5 linked regions of the Xenopus tropicalis genome follow. The protein of the gene in region 4 purifies or fractionates together with the protein of the main gene of each other region. This does not show direct contact. Links are inferred from orthologs where the notes say so. Each region holds a gene or a part of one and is shown on either strand. Other genes may lie near its edges.

Region 1 (5,116 bases), on a different chromosome or scaffold from region 4:
TGTTTAATACATCCAACTTTGTTAATTGTATATGCATTATTTATGGGCTTGCTCCATGCTTTATTCTCAATTCCTTCCCTCCAGTAACACCCAGCTATAACGGGTCCCTTTCATGCAGGTATTATGAGCTCTACATCAAGTTGTAGCATTACCTGGAAATTTTTAAATTGTTCACTCTTCGCCTGCACACATTGAGTTAAGAAAAACAGAGCACCGTAACAAAGGCATTTTAACTAAGCAACAGTTGTAGCCCCTCTCAAAACATACCTGCCTTAATTTCTCCATTTCCCGATAAGGCAGCTGGTGGAACGGTATTCCTTGGTGGTTCATTCTTTGCTTAATGCGGCCTACTTCTTTTGCTTCTGTCATAAGCATCCTAAAGCCTGGACATTATTCAGAACAAATTGGTTGGATTTTACAATTACCTGCATGGTCAGTTCTTTGAGTTTAAAAGGGTTGTTCACCTTTAAATTAACTTTTAGGATGATGCAGAGAGGGATATTCTGATTCATAATGGGTCTTTCATTTTTATTATATGTAGTTTTTGAATTATTTAGCTTTTTGTTCAAAGGATCTCCAGATCAGAATTTCAGGGGCTATCTGGTTGCTAGTGTCCTAATTACCTTTGCAACCAAGCAGTGGTGTGAGTAATAGTTTGAAAAATGTATAGGAGAGGCCTAAATAGAAACATATGTCATAAAATATAACAACAGAATTGTAGCCTCAAAGAGCAATCATTTTGGCTTTTTGGGGTCAGTGACCCTCATTCAAAGGCTGAAAAGTGTTGGAAGAAAAAGGCAAATAATTCAGGGAAGACCAACTGGAGACCTGCGAAGAACTGCACATTCTTAAAAGTACTTAACAGACAGTTTATCTGAAGTTGAACCACCCCTTTAAGGTCAAGTGTTTATTTTCTTTTACACTTCCCAATGTCTGTGTGTATGCATACACTTACATACTCATACACTTTGCAGTATATATAGCAAACAGGAGTTTGGAAACATAATTTCAGCATGTGGCCACTTAAGTGATACTGACACTAAAAAACAACTCTTTAAAATATGAATGTACATAAAAAGTTGCCTATAGGTCATGTTGTTTTTGCTGATAGGGCTGCTTTTGTAAGCAATGGTTACTTGGAGTCCCTAAACATGACTGTCCCTTCTCAGCCTGTCAGTTATAGCTTCTAATGCTAACGGCCTACTGCTGCACAAATATTGCAGCCCCCTCATAGAGGATCATGGGGGTCAGACAGACAATGTAAAAGCATCAGGCAAATACATTTATGGCAAAATTATTAAGGTCATACAAAGACAATGTTATGATAGATGTAAAAAAAAAAAAAAAAAAAAAAAAAAAAGGGTTTAATTTCTTGTGTCAGTATCTCTTTAAGCTGCTCATTGAACACCCGTTTTTTTTGGATTTAATGTATAATTATTACCTTGCACTGAAAGCTTCACAAACTTATATCAAAATATTTGATAACACTGGGCTAATTTGCACTGGGGCAGTAACCCAAAGATAACCAAGCAAAAGATTCATTGGCTGCTATGAGTTGACTGCCCCGGTGCAACTATACCCAGCGCTAAAAAAGCTGCACCAAACAGACTTTGGTTTCTAGTGAAGCACAAAAGTAGATATCACATTAATTGAGATGGTTCTTTTTTTTCAGATTATATTGTAGATACAAGACAGGATGTGCATTCATAAAAGTGTGGATCACTTACCCTTCATGAAGGTGGAATACAAAAGATAAAAATTTGGGAACTTTCTTTCCAAGAAATGCTCGTATTTTTCATTGGCATATTTGGCCTTGGAAGCTATTAAGGAGAGCATGCTCTTCGGCTTGGAGTTTGTCGATAAATGGCATGGCTGGTACCTATAAACAAAAAACGATATATACAAGTGCAATGATAAAGTTAAAAACCATCATGAATGAAATTAACAGGTATTTGTTGCCTTAGAGCTAAACTACATTGGAGCTTTTTGTAAGATGGTGTTGGATCGAGAGAACACATCCTACAAGTGTAAAGTGTAGCTGTTTGTAGTTGCATAGTTTAAGACAGTAGGAATGACAGGTATGTGTAAAGTACATGGAAGCATTGCTGTTTGATGTGACACGCCTGTTGGAAGGGAGTGCTGCATGCTGCGTCTTCATTCAATGAGATAAAAACTGATGGTATCTGACAGACTTGTTTTTCTATAGGAAATACATCGACTGTCGGATGTAGACGCATGAACAAAACTCACCATCCAACTATCTGATTAAACTTTACTTTACAGGTGCGGCATCAAAATTTGTGTCTGATCAAAGTCTCCCATGTAGTTTAGTCCTAATGGATATAAAAACAAGCTGTGCCAGGAATACTGTTGCTCAAGCAGTGCAAGGATAAAATTAAGGCCAAGCAGTAGCTAGAGGACATATGAAAAAAAAAAAGACCAATTGCATATTATCTTAAGGTCCCCATACACAGGCCAATTCTAGCTGCCGATATTGGTCCCTTAGACCGTTTCGGCAGCTAATCGGCCCGTGTATGGGCACTACCGACGGGCCTGCCCGACCGATATCTGGCCTGAAATCAGCCAGATCTTGATCAGACAGGTTAGAAAATCTAGTCGGATCGGGGACTGCTTTGGCTCATTGATGCGGTCCCCTGACCGACTTTTCCTATACCCGTCATTTTAATTCGAATTATCCTGGATTCTACCGATATCGCCCACCAGTAGGATTGGCCCGTGTATGGGGACCTTTAGATTAACACTCTCTACATCATAGGAGAAAGAATGGTACAATCACTGGGGGACCCAAATGTTAGGCAACCTCCAGTGATTACACTGATATCCCACGCTGGGATACAGCGTATTAGAATTGATCATGGGTCTGGATACTTTTATAGGGCTCTGTATTGCTTGCTCGGTGCAGGAAAATGACGTATCTACCATAAACACAAGGCCTGGCGGCAGAAAGCACCTTATCAGATGTCGCAGCGGCTCAGTGTATCGGCTCACATGTAGAACAGTGTGTAAGGGGAAAGCTCCATATAAGAACAAATTAGTGAGTCTATAGGGGAAACACCAGGCCCTACAGTTCACCAGAAAGCCTATTCCATACAATAAAAGGTCACTGCGCTTTAGCTCAAATACGCACTGACACTTGCAGTGTGCCTGTCACAGTATGGGGCTTATTAGCCGGCAGTCAGTGAAGCAGAGAGACAGACCTAGTCATTCTAAGTAGGCTCACAGAGAATCCCTGCACTGCTCACATTACTGAGCTAAAGCTAACTGGGGCGTGTAGCTACTCACAACAGGAGGACACACTTCCTCATACGCCTGCCATCCTCGCCCATCATAAACCGGCAATTTCTTGTCCTGCACAGCGCCATGCCTGACAGCATCTTCCCGACACAGCGGCAAGGGCAAGGAAGCAGAGGTCACATGGGGATACGGAACGTCAATGCAAGAGCTGAGCGGCCATTTTGGATAAGGGCACTAAAGAGACTGTCTCAAGTCAGTGAGAATGAGGCGAGCTACATTTTAATTGTACTGTGTGTTATACATTTCCAGGTTTGCCATCACGGTAGGACAGGCAGGAATACAGTCAGTGGCCTGCTGGCGCGAAAGGGGGTGGGGTTATTCTCTAAAGGGGCGGGTTGGACAAACCTTATATAGGTCAGGGTAGAATGATTTATTTCCTTTGCAACCGTAGATACTCTTGAAATTACCCACTTACCCCTTAGGGCTCTGGCACACGGGGAGATTAGTCGCCCGCGACAAATCTCCCTTGTCACAGGCGACTAATCTCCCCGAGTTGCCATGACCCGCCATCCCACCGGCGAACATGTAAGTCGCCAGTGGGATGGCACACGCGGCGGCGCGATTTCGCGCAAATCGGCGAAAAAGACTCGTGAGTCTTTTTCGCCAATTTCCCAAAATCGCCCCGCCGCGTCTGCCATCCCACCGGCGACTTACATTGTCGCCGATGGGATGGCAGGGGGAAGGCAACTCGGGGAGATTAGTCGCCCGCGAACAGGGAGTTTTGCCGCGGGCGACTAATCTCCCTGTGTGCCAGAGCCCTTAGAGCCATTTAGGGAAAGCGTATAACAAAGTTTAAATGCAAAAGAAAAGAAAAAATATGTGTATTTATATATGTTTTATAGTGTAAGAGAAGGTTATTTTACTTGACAAACACAATAGAAAACAATTTGGAATTATTTCTTAGGGTGACAGGTCCCCTTTAATACAGACACCAGGGTGTTGCACCAGGGTCGTTCGGGTCTGCAACCACAATATTTTTGTATGACCAAAGAAAAGAATTTTCGAGCAGTTTTCGCACAGCGGAAATTATTGTGGTTATTCCACTTTTAACTAGTGAAAATTTGTGCTTTAATGAATGTGCCCACAAGGGACAGATTTATCAGAATGTGAGTTTAGGGCTTAATGCATAAAACCCCACATTCTGTTCATTCCTATGGGATTTTTAGAAGTGTTTTTTTTCAAATGCTAAGTTCTAACTTTCACCCATTGATAAATATGCTTCTAAAAATCCCATAGGAATTAATAGAATTTTTTTATAAAGCTGCCCCTCAGTATGCATTCTCTCCAATCTTAATATAGCTGGCCTTTTCACTGTATTACTTCAGCCACTGCTGTAGGCCAGTTCCACATTTTGAGAACAACTGCTGTTTTGCCTCTTTGGCTACATTAGAAACTATCAGCGGGAATAAGAAAACAATCATAGCTGCCACCAGATGGCAGGACTGCTTTCAACTTAATTTCTTAGAACTAAATGAAATTCTTTAGGTCAGTGCTAAACTAGATTTCCATTGAGACCTAATAAGATAAAGAGATTGTTGTTGTAATGAAGTGCAAGCTACATGTAGAAACACACAGGCCGCTAAAGCAGTATATATATAGGTAGTAGTGGATCAACAGGACAGCTTCAGGAATTATTATGCTAGAATATTATGATTAACACTAGCATTAAGCTTTTAAAAATGTTAACTTTAGTAGGACAATATTCCTGCAAGATAAGTTCTTGTATGATAAATATAGATTACTGTTTCTGAACTATGTGATAAACATAACATACATATTAGTGGGTATGGACATTACAGTA
Region 2 (5,419 bases), on a different chromosome or scaffold from region 4:
TAACCCTGTCAGTCCCACAGCTCCCCCTCACTAACTGCCCCAGCAGGGGTAACCCTGTCAGTCCCACAGCTCCCCCTCACTAACTGCCCCAGCAGGGGTAACCCTGTCAGTCCCACAGCTCCCCCTCACTAACTGCCCCAGCAGGGGTAACCCTGTCAGTCCCACAGCCCCCCTCACTAACTGCCCCAGCAGGGGTAACCCTGTCAGTCCCACAGCCCCCCTCACTAACTGCCCCAGGAGAATTAACCCTGTCAGTCCCACAGCTCCCCCTCACTAACTGCCCCAGCAGGGGTAACCCTGTCAGTCCCCACAGCCCCCCCTCACTAACTGCCCCAGCAGGGGTAACCCTGTCAGTCCCACAGCCCCCCCTCACTAACTGCCCCAGCAGGGGTAACCCTGTCAGTCCCACAGCCCCCCCTCACTAACTGCCCCAGCAGGGGTAACCCTGTCAGTCCCACAGCCCCTCTCACTAACTGCCCCAGCAGGGGTAACCCTGTCAGTCCCACAGCCCCCCCTCACTAACTGCCCCAGCAGGGTAACCCTGTCAGTCCCACGGCTCCCCCTCACTAACTGCCCCAGCAGGGGTAACCCTGTCAGTCCCACAGCTCCCCTCACTAACTGCCCCAGCAGGGGTAACCCTGTCAGTCCCACAGCCCCCCCTCACTAACTGCCCCAGCAGGGGTAACCCTGTCAGTCCCACGGCTCCCCTCACTAACTGCCCCAGCAGGGGTAACCCTGTCAGTCCCACAGCTCCCCTCACTAACTGCCCCAGCAGGGGTAACCCTGTCAGTCCCACAGCTCCCCCTCACTAACTGCCCCAGCAGGGGTAACCCTGTCAGTCCCACGGCTCCCCTCACTAACTGCCCCAGCAGGGGTAACCCTGTCAGTCCCCACAGCTCCCCCTCACTAACTGCCCCAGCAGGGGTAACCCTGTCAGTCCCACAGCCCCCCCTCACTAACTGCCCCAGCAGGGGTAACCCTGTCAGTCCCACAGCCCCCCCTCACTAACTGCCCCAGCAGGGGTAACCCTGTCAGTCCCACAAGCTCCCCCTCACTAACTGCCCCAGCAGGGGTAAACCCCTGTCAGTCCCACAGCCCCCCCCCTCACTAACTGCCCCAGCAGGGGTAACCCTGTCAGTCCACAGCCCCCCCTCACTAACTGCCCCAGCAGGGGTAACCCTGTCAGTCCCACAGCCCCCCCTCACTAACTGCCCCAGCAGGGGTAACCCTGTCAGTCCCACAGCCCCCCCTCACTAACTGCCCAAGCAGGGGTAACCCTGTCAGTTCCCACAGCCCCCCCTCACTAACTGCCCCAGCAGGGGTAACCCTGTCAGTCCCACAGCCCCCCCTCACTAACTGCCCCCAGCAGGGGTAACCCTGTCAGTCCCACAGCCCCCCCCTCACTAACTGCCCCAGCAGGGGTAACCCTGTCAGTCCCACAGCCCCCCCTCACTAACTGCCCCAGCAGGGGTAACCCTGTCAGTCCCACAGCCCCCCCCTCACTAACTGCCCCAGCAGGGGTAACCCTGTCAGTCCCACGGCTCCCCCTCACTAACTGCCCCCAGCAGGGGTAACCCTGTCAGTCCCACAGCTCCCCCTCACTAACTGCCCCAGCAGGGGTAACCCTGTCAGTCCCACAGCCCCACCTCACTAACTGCCCCAGCAGGGGTAACCCTGTCAGTCCCACAGCTCCCCCTCACTAACTGCCCCAGCAGGGGTAACCCTGTCAGTCCCACAGCCCCCTCTCACTAACTGCCCCCAGCAGGGGTAACCCTGTCAGTCCCACAGCTCCCCCTCACTAACTGCCCCAGCAGGGGTAACCCTGTCAGTCCCACAGCCCCCCCTCACTAACTGCCCCAGCAGGGGTAACCCTGTCAGTCCCACAGCTCCCCCTCACTAACTGCCCAGCAGGGGTAACCCTGTCAGTCCCACAGCCCCCTCTCACTAACTGCCCCAGCAGGGGTAACCCTGTCAGTCCCACAGCTCCCCCTCACTAACTGCCCCCAGCAGGGGTAACCCTGTCAGTCCCACAGCTCCCCCTCACTAACTGCCCCAGCAGGGGTAACCCTGTCAGTCCCACAGCTCCCCCTCACTAACTGCCCCAGCAGGGGTAACCCTGTCAGTCCCAACAGACCCTTCCCCCCCCCCTCACTAACTGCCCCAGCAGGGGTAACCCTGTCAGTCCCACAGCTCCCCCTCACTAAACTGCCCCAGCAGGGGTAACCCTGTCAGTCCCACAGCTCCCCCTCACTAACTGCCCCAGCAGGGGTAACCCTGTCAGTCCCCACAGCTCCCCCTCACTAACTGCCCCAGCAGGGGTAACCCTGTCAGTCCCACAGCCCCCCCTCACTAACTGCCCCAGCAGGGGTAACCCTGTCAGTCCCACAGCCCCCCCTCACTAACTGCCCCAGCAGGGGTAACCCTGTCAGTCCCACAGCCCCCCCTCACTAACTGCCCCAGCAGGGGTAACCCTGTCAGTCCCACAGCCCCCCCTCACTAACTGCCCCAGCAGGGGTAACCCTGTCAGTCCCACAGCCCCCCCTCACTAACTGCCCAGCAGGGGTAACCCTGTCAGTCCCACAGCCCCCCCTCACTAACTGCCCCAGCAGGGGTAACCCTGTCAGTCCCACAGCCCCCCCTCACTAACTGCCCCAGCAGGGGTAACCCTGTCAGTCCCACAGCCCCCCCTCACTAACTGCCCCAGCAGGGGTAACCCTGTCAGTCCCACAGCCCCCTCTCACTAACTGCCCCAGCAGGGGTAACCCTGTCAGTCCCACAGCCCCCCCTCACTAACTGCCCCAGCAGGGGTAACCCTGTCAGTCCCACAGCTCCCCCTCACTAACTGCCCCAGCAGGGGTAACCCTGTCAGTCCCACAGCCCCCCCTCACTAACTGCCCCAGCAGGGGTAACCCTGTCAGTCCCACAGCTCCCCCTCACTAACTGCCCCAGCAGGGGTAACCCGTCAGTCCACAGCTCCCCTCACTAACTGCCCCAGCAGGGGTAACCCTGTCAGTCCCACAGCCCCCCCTCACTAACTGCCCCAGCAGGGGTAACCCTGTCAGTCCCACAGCTCCCCCTCACTAACTGCCCCAGCAGGGGTAATGGGGTTAATGGCGGGGCTGTGGGGGTTAATGGCGGGGCTGTGGGGGTTAATGGCGGGGCTGTGGGGGTTAATGGCGGGGCTGTGGGGGTTAATGGCGGGGCTGGGGGGGTTAATGGCGGGGCTGGGGGGGTTAATGGCGGGGCTGGGGGGGTTAATGGCGGGGCTGGGGGGGTTAATGGCGGGCTGGGGGGTTAATGGCGGGGCTGGGGGGTTAATGGCGGGGCTGGGGGGGTTAATGGCGGGCTGGGGGGGTTAATGGCGGGGCTGGGGGGTTAATGGCGGGGCTGGGGGGTTTTAATGGCGGGGCTGGGGGGGTTAATGGCGGGGCTGGGGGGGTTAATGGGAAGGGCACGTACCTGGGCTCGGGTTCCCACTCCCCAACTCCCGGCTCCGCTTCCCTCACACTTCTGACCTTCCCAACATGGCTGCTACTTATAACCTCGGCCGACTCCTTCCAACACTACTTCCTGCCCGGCGCCATCTTTAGTACTGGCAATGTCTGCCCATTCTTCCGCTTCTATTGCTGTGTGTGTGCCCCCTCTGTAACATGGTGCCCAGTGCCCCTCCCTGTGTGTGTGTGTGCCCCCTCTGTAACATGGTGCCCAGTGCCCCTCCCTGTGTGTGTGTGTGCCCCCTCTGTAAATGGTGCCCAGTGCCCCTCCCTGTGTGTGGTGTGTGCCCCCTCTGTAACATGGTGCCCAGTGCCCCTCCCTGTGTGTGTGTGTGCCCCCTCTGTAACATGGTGCCCAGTGCCCCTCCCTGTGTGTGTGTGTGCCCCCTCTGTAACATGGGTGCCCAGTGCCCTCCCTGTGTGTGTGTGTGCCCCTCTGTAACATGGTGCCCAGTGCCCCTCCCTGTGTGTGTGTGTGCCCCCTCTGTAACATGGTGCCCAGTGCCCCCCTGTGTGTGTGTGTGTGTGTGTGTGTGTGCCCCTCTGTAACATGGTGCCCAGTGCCCCTCCCTGTGTGTGTGTGCTCCCTCTGTAACATGGTGCCCAGTGCCCCTCCCGTGTGTGTGTGCCCTCTGTAACATGGTGCCCAGTGCCCCTCCCTGTGTGTGTGTGCTCCCTCTGTAACATGGTGCCCAGTGCCCCTCCCTGTGTGTGTGTGTGCCCCTCTGTAACATGGTGCCCAGTGCCCCTCCCTGTGTGTGTGTGTGTGTGTGTGTGTGTGTGTGTGTGTGCCCCTCTGTAACATGGTGCCCAGTGCCCCTCCCTGTGTGTGTGTGCTCCCTCTGTAACATGGTGCCCAGTGCCCCTCCCTGTGTGTGTGTGTGTGTGTGTGTGCCCCTCTGTAACATGGTGCCCAGTGCCCCTCCCTGTGTGTGTGTGCTCCCTCTGTAACATGGTGCCCAGTGCCCCTCCCTGTGTGTGTGTGCCCCCTCTGTAACATGGTGCCCAGTGCCCCTCCCTGTGTGTGTGTGTGTGTGTGTGTGTGTGCCCCCTCTGTAAACATGGTGCCCAGTGCCTCTCCCTGTGTGTGTGTGCCCCCTCTGTAACATGGTGCCCAGTGCCCCTCCCCTGTGTGTGTGTGTGTGTGTGTGTGTGCCCCCTCTGTAACATGGTGCCCCAGTGCCCCTCCCTGTGTGTGTGTGTGTGTGCCCCTCTGTAACATGGTGCCCAGTGCCCCTCCCTGTGTGTGTGTGTGTGCCCCCTCTGTAACATGGTGCCCCAGTGCCCCTCCCTGTGTGTGTGTGTGTGTGTGTGCCCCCTCTGTAACATGGTGCCCAGTGCCCCTCCCTGTGTGTGTGTGCCCCCTCTGTAACATGGTGCCCAGTGCCCCTCCCTGTCTGTGTGTGTGTGTGTGTGCCCCTCTGTAACATGGTGCCCAGTGCCCCCTCCCTGTGTGTGTGTGTGTGTGTGTGCCCCCTCTGTAACATGGTGCCCAGTGCCTCTCCCTGTGTTGTGTGTGCCCCCTCTGTAACATGGTGCCCAGTGCCCCTCCCTGTGTGTGTGTGTGTGTGTGTGCCCCCTCTGTAACATGGTGCCCAGTGCCCCTCCCTGTGTGTGTGTGTGTGGTGCCCTCTGTAACATGGTGCCCAGTGCCCCTCCCTGTGTGTGTGGGTGTGTGTGTGTGTGTGCCCCCTCTGTAACACATGGTGCCCAGTGCCCCTCCCTGTGTGTGTGTGTGTGTGTGCCCCCTCTGTAACATGGTGCCCCAGTGCCCCTCCCTGTGTGTGTGTGCCCCCTCTGTAACATGGTGCCCAGTGCCCCTCCCTGTGTGTGTGTGTGTGTGTGTGTGCCCCTCTGTAACATGGTGCCCAGTGCCTCTCCCTGTGTGTGTGTGTGTGTGTGTGTGTGTGTGCCCCTCTGTAACA
Region 3 (3,615 bases), on a different chromosome or scaffold from region 4:
CAATCCAGAGGAACAAAGATTGTTGGCTAACAACAGATGTATACATACAGGGCATCAATGTACAATATGAATTAAAAATATGGTACTTTGAGTCTTTGCATGTTGCACATATCTCCCCTTTTGTTAGTGAGCCCAAATATGTTAGTTGCAAAAAGTATCAGGTATTCCTGCTTACTGATAATGACTTCAAAGGATTTCAGGAAGGTTACTCTTTTCACTCACCTGAATTCTGAGTGTTATTTATGCAACAATGCAAAACTAAACATTTTAAAATGGAAACTGTTTAGCTATTAATAAACACACAATACTGATTTGTGATCATGGCACCCCAAGGCCCCCCTTCCCACGCATGCACACCCATTTAGCACGCATACGGAGCACTGGGGACAGGATGTGCTGAAGTTTTCTGCGCTTCCTGTCCCCACTGCGCCATATGTGGGCAAAGTTTCAGTGCTGCTTGGGTGACATGCCCCCCCAGGCTCAGGCCTTTGTGGCACAAATACAAATAATACAAATAATAATAATACAAATAAATGCCTAATATTTTACTTTAAAGGTTATAGATGTTATAAGGTATTTGTGTGCTTCTGAGCCTATTGTTTTATCTGCTGCAACAAATACACTTTGTCTGTACCATTTCTGAATTAATCAATTTACTCTTCACTGTCCCCCCAGCAACCTGTCTTTCTTCACTCTCGTTCAAAAATCTCTTACCTGGTTGAGTGCCCATCTGTAATGACGGGAAATTTTATAATAACCTTGAAACTTCCGGTGTTCTGGTGGGACAGCCACCTCTGAGAGATCAGGCTGCTTGATATGAGTTACAGCATCTCCATAGGAGTCAATGACCTTCCCAGTCTCCTCATGACCACAGTCTTGGCTCACTATTATGGGGAATTTTTCCGCTGAGGGTCGGTATTTTAACAATGAATCCAGGCATCTCCTCACTGAGGGACGGTCACATGCCACCACTAGGATTGGAATGACCAAAGAGAGAGGATCTGATCTCACAGGAGATGAAGTGGATGACATATTAGACTTCTTAATGGGTATTACAGGTGCTGGCCTTACATGTGAAGGAGACTGCTGGTTGTTAAGTAGGCCACTGTAGTAGTGTATTTGTTGAAGTAATCCCTTCTGTTTTTCAAGCTCAGCCTCTGCTGCTTCAGCCAACTGGATAACATGCGCAGTAAGATCGGAATGATCAGTACCACGGGACCTGCTCATGAGGTAGAGGAGTAGAATTGCATTCCATGAGATAAAGAGGGCTGCCCCCCAGGCCGCCACGCTGACCTTGCGCGGCATTCCCCTGGGGGGTCCCAGATCCAGTATGGAAAGTGATTTGAGATTTAGAGTTTTAGGTATTGCACTTCTGAAGACAAAAGAGAAACAGGCCAAGGTTCTTGTTTCTTCAAATAAAGATTAGAAGGCCAAATGAAGAGACCACCACAGCCATTAAGCAGGATTAACAGATAAATTTATTGTCTTCTGGAATAAACTTTACATCCATCCACCTACACAAAAGAAAAATATATAAAATCAACAGCTACACAAACTTTGCTCCCTTACAAAACACAAAGCCACAAATATTACTTTAAAAAGCAAGAGAAATTGAACCATTATCACACAACTTTATGCTATTTAATATGTTTTGTGCTAATATTCACAAATTAGAATCATTTCACCATTAGTACCAATGACTGTCATTATTAGCAGGATAAAGGAATTAACATTTAAGCATGTAGAATAACAGTATGTACTTTGCAATGGAAAAATGTAGAGTGCAAGATGCGTTATTAGTAGTTAGAAAAGAATGAGAATATACTTCTGTGAGGAGTTTCTGTGATATTGGTCCCTTAGACCGACTCGGCAGCTTATTGTCCCGTGTATGGGCACCAATGACGGGCCTGCGCGACTGACATCTGGCCTGAAATTGACCAGATCTCGATTGGACAGGTTTAAAAATTTAGTCGGATCGGGGACCATTGAAGACAATATGAATAGCCAAATAAAAGTCAGTCTACTCACATAACTGAGAGCAAATGCTGAGTGGCACATTTTTGAGTGATTATGTGATTGTGCAGGTGAGTGCTTTTGCTCTTAACGCCGGGGTGCCAAGACTTTGTTCCCCTAAGACGCAGCACACACATTCCCTGGCTTAGACGCAGTCTACCAGAAATTCATGGGGATCAACTGGTAGACCGCGATCAACGTGTTGGCCAACCCTGCCTTAAGGTAACCTGCATTGAGTTACCCCTGAAATTTCCAATTACAATCAACAGGAAAAAGGTGCATGTCCTAATGTGCTACTTCTTTTTCTAACAGAACAGGGTAATGTATAACTTGAAATTAACACAAAATATACCCTGAAAAACAGATCTGTTCAACTGGAGGTTGAAGATACAACAACATTACTATGGCCACAGATTTCCTTAGGGCAGTGCTGTCCAACTTCTACGGTGCCGAGGGCCGGAATTTCTCTAGCATACATGGTGGAGGGCCGCTAATGGAAGCCAGTTTTGACCACTCCCCTTTTTGAAACCACACCCACTTCAAACCACACCTATTTTATCACAATGGTGGTAGTACAGCAAAATCCCAAATGCTTGGTCCTTACTGTGGGGATATCAACCATCATTCATATGTGAAAGAATTATGTCATATTAAGATATACCCTTAAATTCCATATGCCTCCTCCTCCCCTGTGGATAGCAGAGCAACCCCCAGTACATAATTACACACCTTAGGGACCATTTAATGGCTATTTCCAACTGCTAACAAACTCCCACAACAAACCCTGCCAGGTTCACCTCCCACAAGCAGCATAGGGCAAGCAGAGTATGGCACACACAGGAAGCACTCTGCCTGTCCTAAGCTGTCTGTGCGTGCCATACTCTGTCTGCCCTACCCTGCCTGTGTGTGCCATACTCTGCCTGTCCTACCCTGCCTGTGTGTGCCATACTCTGCCTTCCCTATGCTGCCTCTGTGTGCCATACTCTGCCTGCCCTACCCTGCCTGTGTGTGCCATACTCTGCCTGCCCTACCCTGACTGTGTGTGCCATACTCTGCCTGCCCTACCCTTCCTGTGTGTGCCATACTCTGCCTGCCCTACTCTTCCTGTGTGTGCCATACCCTCCCTGACCTATGCTGGCTGTATGTGCCATACTCTGCCTACAGTACCTATGTCTGAGGTGTGAAGAAGTGAACAATGGGAGTGATTACAGTCTGAGCCTGAGGTGTGAACACTGCAGGGGGTGAACAATGCAGGTATTAAAAGGTGTGAAAAACACAGGGGATTACATTTTTAAACAATACAGAGGGATTACAGCCTGAATCTGAGGTGAGAACCATGCAGGGGGCCAGTTAATCTCAGCACTGATACCATTTAATGCTTACTCAAAGGTAAGCCATCAAAGCAGCCAGACAGGTGGGGGGCCACACAGAGGGGGGTCGCGGGCCGCCAGTTGGACAGCACTGCCTTAGGGTAAGGGTAAAGACACACCGCTACCAATTTTTTAAAACTTTGTAGCCCTGTGTGTCTTCGGCCTTAAAGTTTCATTCACTTCATCATTAAAAAAGGTTCTTTATAATCAGTGCTTCTCCCAAAAATGCCTT
Region 4 (4,690 bases):
GTATACAAGTCTTTTGTTACTGCGATACATGCCTACAGGCGCTGAAGGAGGAGTTTTATCTCTGGGTCCAGCTGTACCAGGAAATGGCACAGGAGCCCGACCCAATTCATCACGGTGCTTCAGTACCAGCAGCGGCACCAGTCTCCCCCAGTAACCCGTCCCTCCCCTGGGGAATCTATTGTGCAGCCCACCATTCAGGGGGCTCCTGTCATCTTTATGTCAGAACATTTGTGATTAGGAACATTCAACAATCATTTCTTTATTGAAACTTAAAGAAAATTCTGTCTCTGGTGAGGTTTTCAGTTCCAGCCCGAAACCCGAGACTTTGTTCTGTTAGTTGCCCAACTGGGCACATAGTGGCGCCGCTCTGCCCCTCACTGAAATGGACTCTTTGGTTCTTTCCCAAAGGAAAGCAAAACAGGGGGAGGCTTTGGACCTCAACTTAGATCTACAGAACCCCCCGGCAGTCTACAGAGAGATACCTCCCCAAGGACCCAGCACAAATCTCCTGACCCATTTGGTTTTTGGATCACAAAAGAAGTCTGAGAGCAAGTTTAATGGAACACGGTTTCATTCTTTCCCAATAAAGACTTAGAATAGAATGTTCTTTGGACAATCCGGCTTTGTCTTCAGGTAGGAGATACCCGGGAAGGTCAGAACCAATGTTCTGAGGCAGATTGGTGACCTCACAGGGCAATATTGTCCTCATAAAGTGATAAAATCAGGAGGATTACCCAGCCCAAAAGAATCCCCAGATTATGGAGAAAGAAGAGGATCCAGGGTCTGTGGAGCTTCACATTCATCATGGCGGGAAGCTGAAAGGCAAGAACCCGGGTCATTTATACAAAGAGAGGGACCGTGGTATCATATCCTTCACATATACTCACTGGGGTGGGTCCTTTGTCTGCTTTCTCTACAGAACCCTAACCTTATAGGCCTGCACCTAACATCACCCCAACACACACAGACCAGCACCCTAACATCACCCCAACACACACAGGCCAGCACCCTAACATCACCCCGGCATACACAGACCAGCACCCTAACATCACCCCAACACACACAGACCAGCACCCTAACATCACCCCAGCACACACGGGCTAGCACCCTAACATCACCCTGGCACACAAGACACCCCTCACTCCCATCATGCCACACTGTTACAATTCTTCCTGGTGAATAAGGAGGAGGTACCTTCCCTTGATCCAATCCGGGCACATCTCGCCCACCACGTGTCCAGCACTTCTGTCTCCCTTTCCCCACTGGGATCCCCCTTCCAAAGACCCTCCCTTGATCCCCTCCCAGTTACCACCCTTTCTCATGTTCTCTTTATAACCACTTAACCCACTTTCTCTCTTCTAAACCTCTTCCTGACCCACTGCATTCAACTGAGGTGGTGCTGCCCAAAGTCTCCAATGACCTTCTGTCTGGCAAGTCTATAGGGGAATTATCCATACTGACCTTGTGTTTGAGGTGATACAAAGAGAGAATTAGGGCAACATTGTGGTACAGTGATGATACAAAGAGAGAATTAAAGAGAGCTATTGGGGTACAGTGATGATACAAAGAAAGAATTAGAGAGGTCCGTTGGGGTACAGTGATGATATAGAGAGGTATACTGGGATACGGTTATAATATAGAGAGGTATATTGGGGTACAGTGATGACACAAAGAGAGAATTAGAGAGGGTTGTTGGGGTACAGTGATGATACAAAGAGAGAATTAGAGAGGTCCGTTGAGGTACAGTGATGATATAGAGAGGTATACTGGGATAAGGTGATAATATAGAGAGGTATATTGGGGTACAGTGATGATACAAAGAGAGAATTAGAGAGGGCCATTGGGGTACAGCAATGATACAAAGAAAGAATTAGAGAGGGTTGTTGGGGTACAGTGATGATACAAAGAGAGAATTAGAGAGGGCCATTGGGGTACAGTGATGATACAAAGAAAGAATTAGAGAGGTCCATTGGGGTACGGTGATAATATAGAGAGGTATATTGGGGTACAGTGATGATACAAAGAGAGAATTAGAGAGGGCTGTTGGGGTACAGTGATCATACAAAGAGAGAATTAGAGAGGGCCATTGGGGTATAGCGATGATACAAAGAGAGAATTAGAGAGGGCCATTGGGGTACAGCGATGATACAAAGAGAGAATTAGAGAGGGCTGTTGGGGTACAGCGATGATACAAAGAGAGAATTAGAGAGGGCCATTGGGGTACAGGGATGATATAGAGAGGTATACTGGGGTACAGTGATGATATAGAGAGGTATACTGGGGTACAGTGATGATATAGAGAGGTATACTGGGGTACAGTGATGATATAGAGAGGTATACTGGGGTACAGGGATGATATAGAGAGGGCCATTGGGGTACAGGGATGATATAGAGAGGTATACTGGGGTACAGTGATGATATAGAGAGGTATACTGGGGTACAGTGATGATATAGAGAGGTATACTGGGGTACAGTGATGATATAGAGAGGTATACTGGGGTACAGTGATGATATAGAGAGGTATACTGGGGTACAGTTATGATAAGAAGAGGGTGGTCTCACCATATCTGCCAGAGCAACATAGAGGAAGAGGCCGGTGGCTACAGTGAAGATCCACTGCTGGACGGCTTCATCGGCCGAGATGGACAGCGAGATGTACAGGCCAATGAATGCGGTGAGGGCACTGGAGAAGTTCAGGAGTAGAGCCCAACGCACCCGGAGACCGGCATGGAGAAGGGCAGCAAAATCACCTGGGGGCAGGGAGTCACTTGTCATTGCAAACCCCCAGAACAACTTAGCCCTTAGCCCCCCCATCCTTCCCCATATTTCCTTTCTCTCTGCATCTCTGTGTCACCCTGCAGTGGGAGGGTGCAGACTCCATATCCCATGGTTCCCCTTGTCTCCCTGCACTGGGAATGGGAGAGTCACAGATTCTTACATCCTATCGTTCCATTCTATCTAGGCCAGCGTACAGGGTGAGACATACCAAGTTCGTGGGGGAGTTCGTGGCATAAAACAGCCAGAGATGTCGCCAATCCAGTTTTCCAAGAGGTGGAGAATGCAGCTCCTATAGCCAAACCATCGGCAAAGTTATGAATGGCGTCTCCAATGGTGATCATGTAGGGGATCATCTGCAGCTCTGGATCAATGAAAAGAGACATCACATGGTGAGAGTGAGTAGTTTGTCTCCAACAGAGACTGCTGGCGAGACCCTAAGATACTTGGATCCACAAATCATCCACCAGCATTGCCCTCTACCTTAGTTCCCCTTTAGGGCTTTTCCTTTTTGAAGGCCAAAACGAGGCTTTTTTTTATCATGTGGGTCCATTGACTTATAAAGTATATGTTCTTATCATGGGGGTCCATTGCCACAGGTGCCACAGTGTAACCCACAGCCAGAAGGTGCCACAGTGTAACCCACGGCCAGAAGGTGCCATAGTGTAACCCACGGCCAGAAGGTGCCACAGTGTTACCCACGGCCAGAAGGTGCCACAGTGTAACCCACGGCCAGAAGGTGCCACAGTGTAACCCACGGCCAGAAGGTGCCACAGTGTAACCCACAGCCAGAAGGTGCCATAGTGTTACCCACGGCCAGAAGGTGCCACAGTGTAACCCACAGCCAGAAGGTGCCATAGTGTTACCCACTGCCAGAAGGTGCCACAGTGTAACCCACGGCCAGAAGGTGCCACAGTGTAACCCACGGCCAGAAGGTGCCACAGTGTAACCCACGGCCAGAAGGTGCCACAGTGTAACCCACGGCCAGAAGGTGCCACAGTGTAACCCACGGCCAGAAGGTGCCACAGTGTAACCCACGGCCAGAAGGTGCCACAGTGTAACCCACGGCCAGAAGGTGCCACAGTGTAACCCACGGCCAGAAGGTGCCACAGTGTTACCCACGGCTAGAAGGTGCCACAGTGTAACCCACGGCCAGAAGGTGCCACAGTGTAACCCACGGCCAGAAGGTGCCACAGGGTTACCCACAGCCAGAAGGTGCCACAGTGTTACCCACGACCAGAAGGTGCCACAATGTAACCCACGGCCAGAAGGTTCCACAGTGTTACCCACGGCCAGAAGGTGCCACAATGTAACCCACGGCCAGAAGGTTCCACAGTGTAACCCACGGCCAGAAGGTGCCACAGTGTAACCACGGCCAGAAGGTTCCACAGTGTAACCCACGGCCAGAAGGTGCCACAGTGTAACCCACGGCCAGAAGGTGCCACAGGGTTACCCACAGCCAGAAGGTTCCACAGTGTAACCCACGGCCAGAAGGTGCCACAGTGTAACCCACGGCCAGAAGGTGCCACAGTGTAACCCACGGCCAGAAGGTTCCACAGTGTAACCCACGGCCAGAAGGTGCCACAGTGTTACCCACGGCCAGAAGGTGCCACAGTGTAACCCACAGCCAGAAGGTGCCACAGTGTAACCCACGGCCTGAAGGTGCCACAGTGTTACCCACGGCCAGAAGGTGCCACAATGTAACCCACTGCCAGAAGGTGCCACAGTGTAACCCACGGCCAGAAGGTGCCACAGTGTAACCCACGGCCAGAAGGTGCCACAGTGTAACCCACGGCCAGAAGGGGGCCACAGTGTAACCCACGGCCAGAAGGGGCCACAGTGTAACCCACGGCCAGAAGGTGCCACAGTGTAACCCACGGCCAGAAGGTGCCACAGTGTAACCCACGGCCAGAAG
Region 5 (3,625 bases), on a different chromosome or scaffold from region 4:
GCATCATGTGAAGGTGCTTCCAACACCCTTTTTTGTAGCACCTTAGGGTTTTAATTACCAGTTTTTAGTGACCAGTATTGAAGAGGGGAGGATAATAGATAGTGCTCTTCATCAGATACCAGCTCTGCCCAGCCCCCTGTAGAGAGGGAAGCACACACCAAACACCAAAAGAACCAGAAAGCCAGTGCAGGCAGCCTATAGATGCAGGTGAGCCGAGACTGTGGTGAGTGGAAAGGGCATTTTATATACGTTAAAAAAAATAAAATACAGATTCCTTTCCTTATTTAACCTACTTTGTGTAAGAGCTAAACTCTTTGATACAAAGAATTTTGTATCAATCCCATTATATTTTGGCCCACACGACTACATCCAACTTGTCAGATGCTGTTTAAGATGTGTTTAAGTTTCACTTGGAAATGGGTGAATTCGAAAACAATGATGGGATTAACTTCCCCTTGAAAATATACATAAATCTCGAAAAAAACAAAATTAAAAAAATTTAACTTTTCTCACAAAACCTTAGTAAATGGGCCCCTAAGTGTAATAGGCACAACTACATTCAAGTCAGTGTAAGTATAGGGAAATGTGTGTGCACTTACCAATAACCATTAATAATGCAAAGACGGAAATTGTAAAATACGATCCACTGCTGATCATGTTTGCCAGCACTTTAAATAAGGGATATGAAAGCAGAGAGGCCCAAAATATCCAGTTTATAAGGGTCCATGGTCTCCTAGGTGGCACAACTGCAGTCCCTGGGTAGGCACCGGTCTTGTAGTATTCCTCCTGAAATGCATCCTAAAGATACAAAGATCAAGAAAATTTACTTACTTCAGAGAGTGTTTATATATATTTTTTTACATAAGCCCAACGGAACGACCCAAGGTCAAACAGGGAGGTATATTTTCCTTTCATTTTAGAAGTGCTAAGGTGCTGTCTGAATGATCTTCAATTTCATTTTAAGGAGAAAAATTCTTCAGGATGAAGTATAAACCTACAACTACAGCTACGGGCCTTTGTACAATTTCCTCTTCTGGGGGACAGTATTCAGATCTAGTAGGCTGGAATACAGTTCATATATGAAATACGTGTGTATCTGTGTTTTTGGATTCAATGCATCTTTGCAACATTGTAAGTGCTGACTTGAGCAGCCAGCCAGTTAAAATGGGATATGTTGGAAAAATCTATTTGTATGGAAAATTTCATTTTGGGTGGAAAACCCCTTCAATAGTTAATTAGCAAATTCATATGGAAATATAATTACAAATACATGTAACCACCAATATGATTATACCAACTTGGTGCGAGGTTAATAAAATCAGCTCTAACAAATATCCATTAATAAAAATACTGACCTTTTCCTGATACAGTTTGTGGAGCCAAGAGGCACATTCCTGCTCATCCTCTGGGATTTCTTCTAATGGGATTCTCCTGAGACATGAAACGGAAAGAGTCAACAAATCATCAACACAATGGCCAAAAGAAAGATTGCAAAGGATACAGTCCCATGATTACTTATTAGAATATTATTTCATTTTTATACACAGATTTAAAAGGAGAACTATCGTGAAATTGAAAATTCAGCTCATGAAAACCAGAAACTTTCCACATATAAATAATTAGAAATTCTGTAGCACTTCTAAAATCAAATCAAATTACATGTCACATCAATCTGTATCTCTTCATGCAGCAGTTGGAGTGAGATTTCAATGCAAGTCTATTCTGGGCAAGTTTTGAGTGTTGTGGTTGCGTATTTCTGGGCTGCTTAAAAGGGTGGTTCACCTTTAAGTTAAGTTAACTTTTAATATCTTAAAGAATGCCCAAATTATTTTCTGCCTTCTTCTGACTCTTTCCAGCTTTCAATAGGGGTCACTGACCCACCAGCCAATAAAGTTGCTGAACAAAAAGCGAAATATTTAAAAAAAAAACACAAGTTGCAAGTCTCCGCACTCTCTCGATCGGCTATTTAGACTTGCTCTTTAAAGCACACATGAGGGTAACGGGCATCTACTAGGAAGTGCGTTCTGAGCAAAGTTCCAGCTGTTGCCACTATGTTTGCTGTGCATTTTCCAAAGATCTTTGGGGAAGATGGTAATGGGTCTACCAGTGTAAATATAAATGAACCTTAGTCATAGAAGAATTAGATACTGACTGTACATTAACTTTTACCACTTCAGTTGTTTTAGAAGGGAAGGGGGGGTCTGGGATGGGGCGGAATTGGTCTCAGAATCACCCCTAGTATAATAGCAAACTTGTTTAGATTGTGATATACTATACATGAATTATTCCCTGAAAAAACACACACGTGCAACAATACTGGGTTGAAGGCTACTCGTGGCATTTTCCTTTGCAGTGGGAAGTGACCTTTGCTACTAGTTTATGGCAGTGATAGCATGCATCATCATAAACCTGCTTTGGACACAAAATGGCATTTGTGTTACAGCTTTGAGTGCAGAACCTTCATAGCATATTGTCAACATAATGCTTAGGCAAGGGCATTTACTTTGAGCACATTTTCCCTATAAAACAAAGTTACACATTCAAAGAAAATCAGTTTCATTCAGTTACAAGAAGCTAAAAAGCTAAATGGAAAACTGCTTACCTGACACACAGGTCCGCGTGGTATTTCTTCCCATTCAAAACTCCAAGCAATGTAGGATTTTCATTGTTTCTAAAATTGAGGGTTGAGTCGTATACAGCTGAAACTGGAAAAACAAGAAATCTGAAATGATATAGCAAAGAATGCACACCGACGACTGTCAAAACCTGTGTGCACACAAATGAATATTTTGCACATATATTAATATTTTGATCCTAGGGAGTAATCAGTTTTGATCACTGCAAATTTAACAGAACGTTTAATGCCACCAGGAAAAGCATCAAATCCAGATTAACCTCTTCCTGGAAGAATTATATTTATTTCTCGTGTTACCTGCTATCTGGTACCACTGACCCAATCATTAAAAAATGGAAAAAAAAATGATCACCTTATACATCACAAGAATTTGTTTTGGTATAATTTCCTACACTTCTAGTGCTCATAGCAGGCATTTTGAGGGATTTTATTAATATAGGTTGTAACCAACAAAGTCTCTATGAAATCTATAGCTTCATTTCTTTTGGTTTATAAACACCAAATTCACATGGGTAAACAAAGGCAATTGGTTGGAATAATATGCTGAAATATAAACTTTGCCTTTCTCTTGAACAAGATATGCATAGGTACATTATATTTTATACAGTGCTATCCAATTCTAAAGGTGGCCATGCACGTTCAGATCTTAGTCTTCTGACAAACATTCAGATATTGATTGTACATTTAAATACAACAATCTAAAACTAACATTCAGACTGAAATTGTAGCATAAAGCCAAATCAGAGGATGTTCTAAACATGAAATATTTGGCAGACACCAATTGGATGAAAATGAATTCCTGGAAATGCATTGTAGGTCCCCCAAGGATACTGTCAGATACACGATACATGCGCAGAATTCTGAGCCACACAAAAAAAGTGTCGTTTGTGTGGCCCTGGAAATATTAAAAAATTATTTTGTATTTTTGGAACAATACTATGTACAGCACATGGGGTGCGCTATGGGTGCTAACATGGGACCCATTTATGC

Evidence for each region.
Region 1: the proteins of slc39a4 (region 4) and letmd1 purify together in Homo sapiens (affinity purification with mass spectrometry; 3 studies listed by BioGRID and IntAct, counting the BioPlex papers as one, with this or other methods). This does not show direct contact. The link is inferred for Xenopus tropicalis from reciprocal best matches to the Homo sapiens genes SLC39A4 and LETMD1.
Region 2: the proteins of slc39a4 (region 4) and abcb10 purify together in Homo sapiens (affinity purification with mass spectrometry; 3 studies listed by BioGRID and IntAct, counting the BioPlex papers as one, with this or other methods). This does not show direct contact. The link is inferred for Xenopus tropicalis from reciprocal best matches to the Homo sapiens genes SLC39A4 and ABCB10.
Region 3: the proteins of slc39a4 (region 4) and mgat1 purify together in Homo sapiens (affinity purification with mass spectrometry; 3 studies listed by BioGRID and IntAct, with this or other methods). This does not show direct contact. The link is inferred for Xenopus tropicalis from reciprocal best matches to the Homo sapiens genes SLC39A4 and MGAT1.
Region 5: the proteins of slc39a4 (region 4) and agpat4 purify together in Homo sapiens (affinity purification with mass spectrometry; 3 studies listed by BioGRID and IntAct, with this or other methods). This does not show direct contact. The link is inferred for Xenopus tropicalis from reciprocal best matches to the Homo sapiens genes SLC39A4 and AGPAT4.

Annotation. Positions count from the first base shown.
Region 1 is NC_030678.2:142,123,635-142,128,750, reverse strand, and holds the start of letmd1 (LETM1 domain-containing protein 1), read right to left. Parts: upstream 3,441-5,116; 5' UTR 3,384-3,440; coding exon 3,304-3,383; intron 1,880-3,303; coding exon 1,728-1,879; intron 384-1,727; coding exon 268-383; intron 1-267. UniProt on the Homo sapiens protein: Plays an essential role for mitochondrial structure and function, as well as thermogenesis of brown adipocytes.
Region 2 is NC_030679.2:152,899,418-152,904,836, reverse strand, and holds the start of abcb10 (ATP-binding cassette sub-family B member 10, mitochondrial), read right to left. Parts: upstream 3,564-5,419; 5' UTR 3,460-3,563; intron 1-3,459.
Region 3 is NC_030684.2:71,520,329-71,523,943, reverse strand, and holds part of mgat1 (alpha-1,3-mannosyl-glycoprotein 2-beta-N-acetylglucosaminyltransferase), read right to left. Parts: intron 1,515-3,615; 5' UTR 1,306-1,514; coding exon 715-1,305; intron 1-714. UniProt on the Homo sapiens protein: Initiates complex N-linked carbohydrate formation. Essential for the conversion of high-mannose to hybrid and complex N-glycans.
Region 4 is NC_030682.2:154,047,760-154,052,449, reverse strand, and holds the end of slc39a4 (zinc transporter ZIP4), read right to left. Parts: intron 3,140-4,690; coding exon 2,987-3,139; intron 2,751-2,986; coding exon 2,563-2,750; intron 816-2,562; coding exon 687-815; 3' UTR 538-686; downstream 1-537. UniProt on the Homo sapiens protein: Selective transporter that mediates the uptake of Zn(2+). Plays an essential role for dietary zinc uptake from small intestine. The Zn(2+) uniporter activity is regulated by zinc availability.
Region 5 is NC_030681.2:53,400,872-53,404,496, forward strand, and holds part of agpat4 (1-acyl-sn-glycerol-3-phosphate acyltransferase delta), read right to left. Parts: intron 2,706-3,625; coding exon 2,603-2,705; intron 1,432-2,602; coding exon 1,356-1,431; intron 799-1,355; coding exon 600-798; intron 1-599. UniProt on the Homo sapiens protein: Converts 1-acyl-sn-glycerol-3-phosphate (lysophosphatidic acid or LPA) into 1,2-diacyl-sn-glycerol-3-phosphate (phosphatidic acid or PA) by incorporating an acyl moiety at the sn-2 position of the glycerol backbone.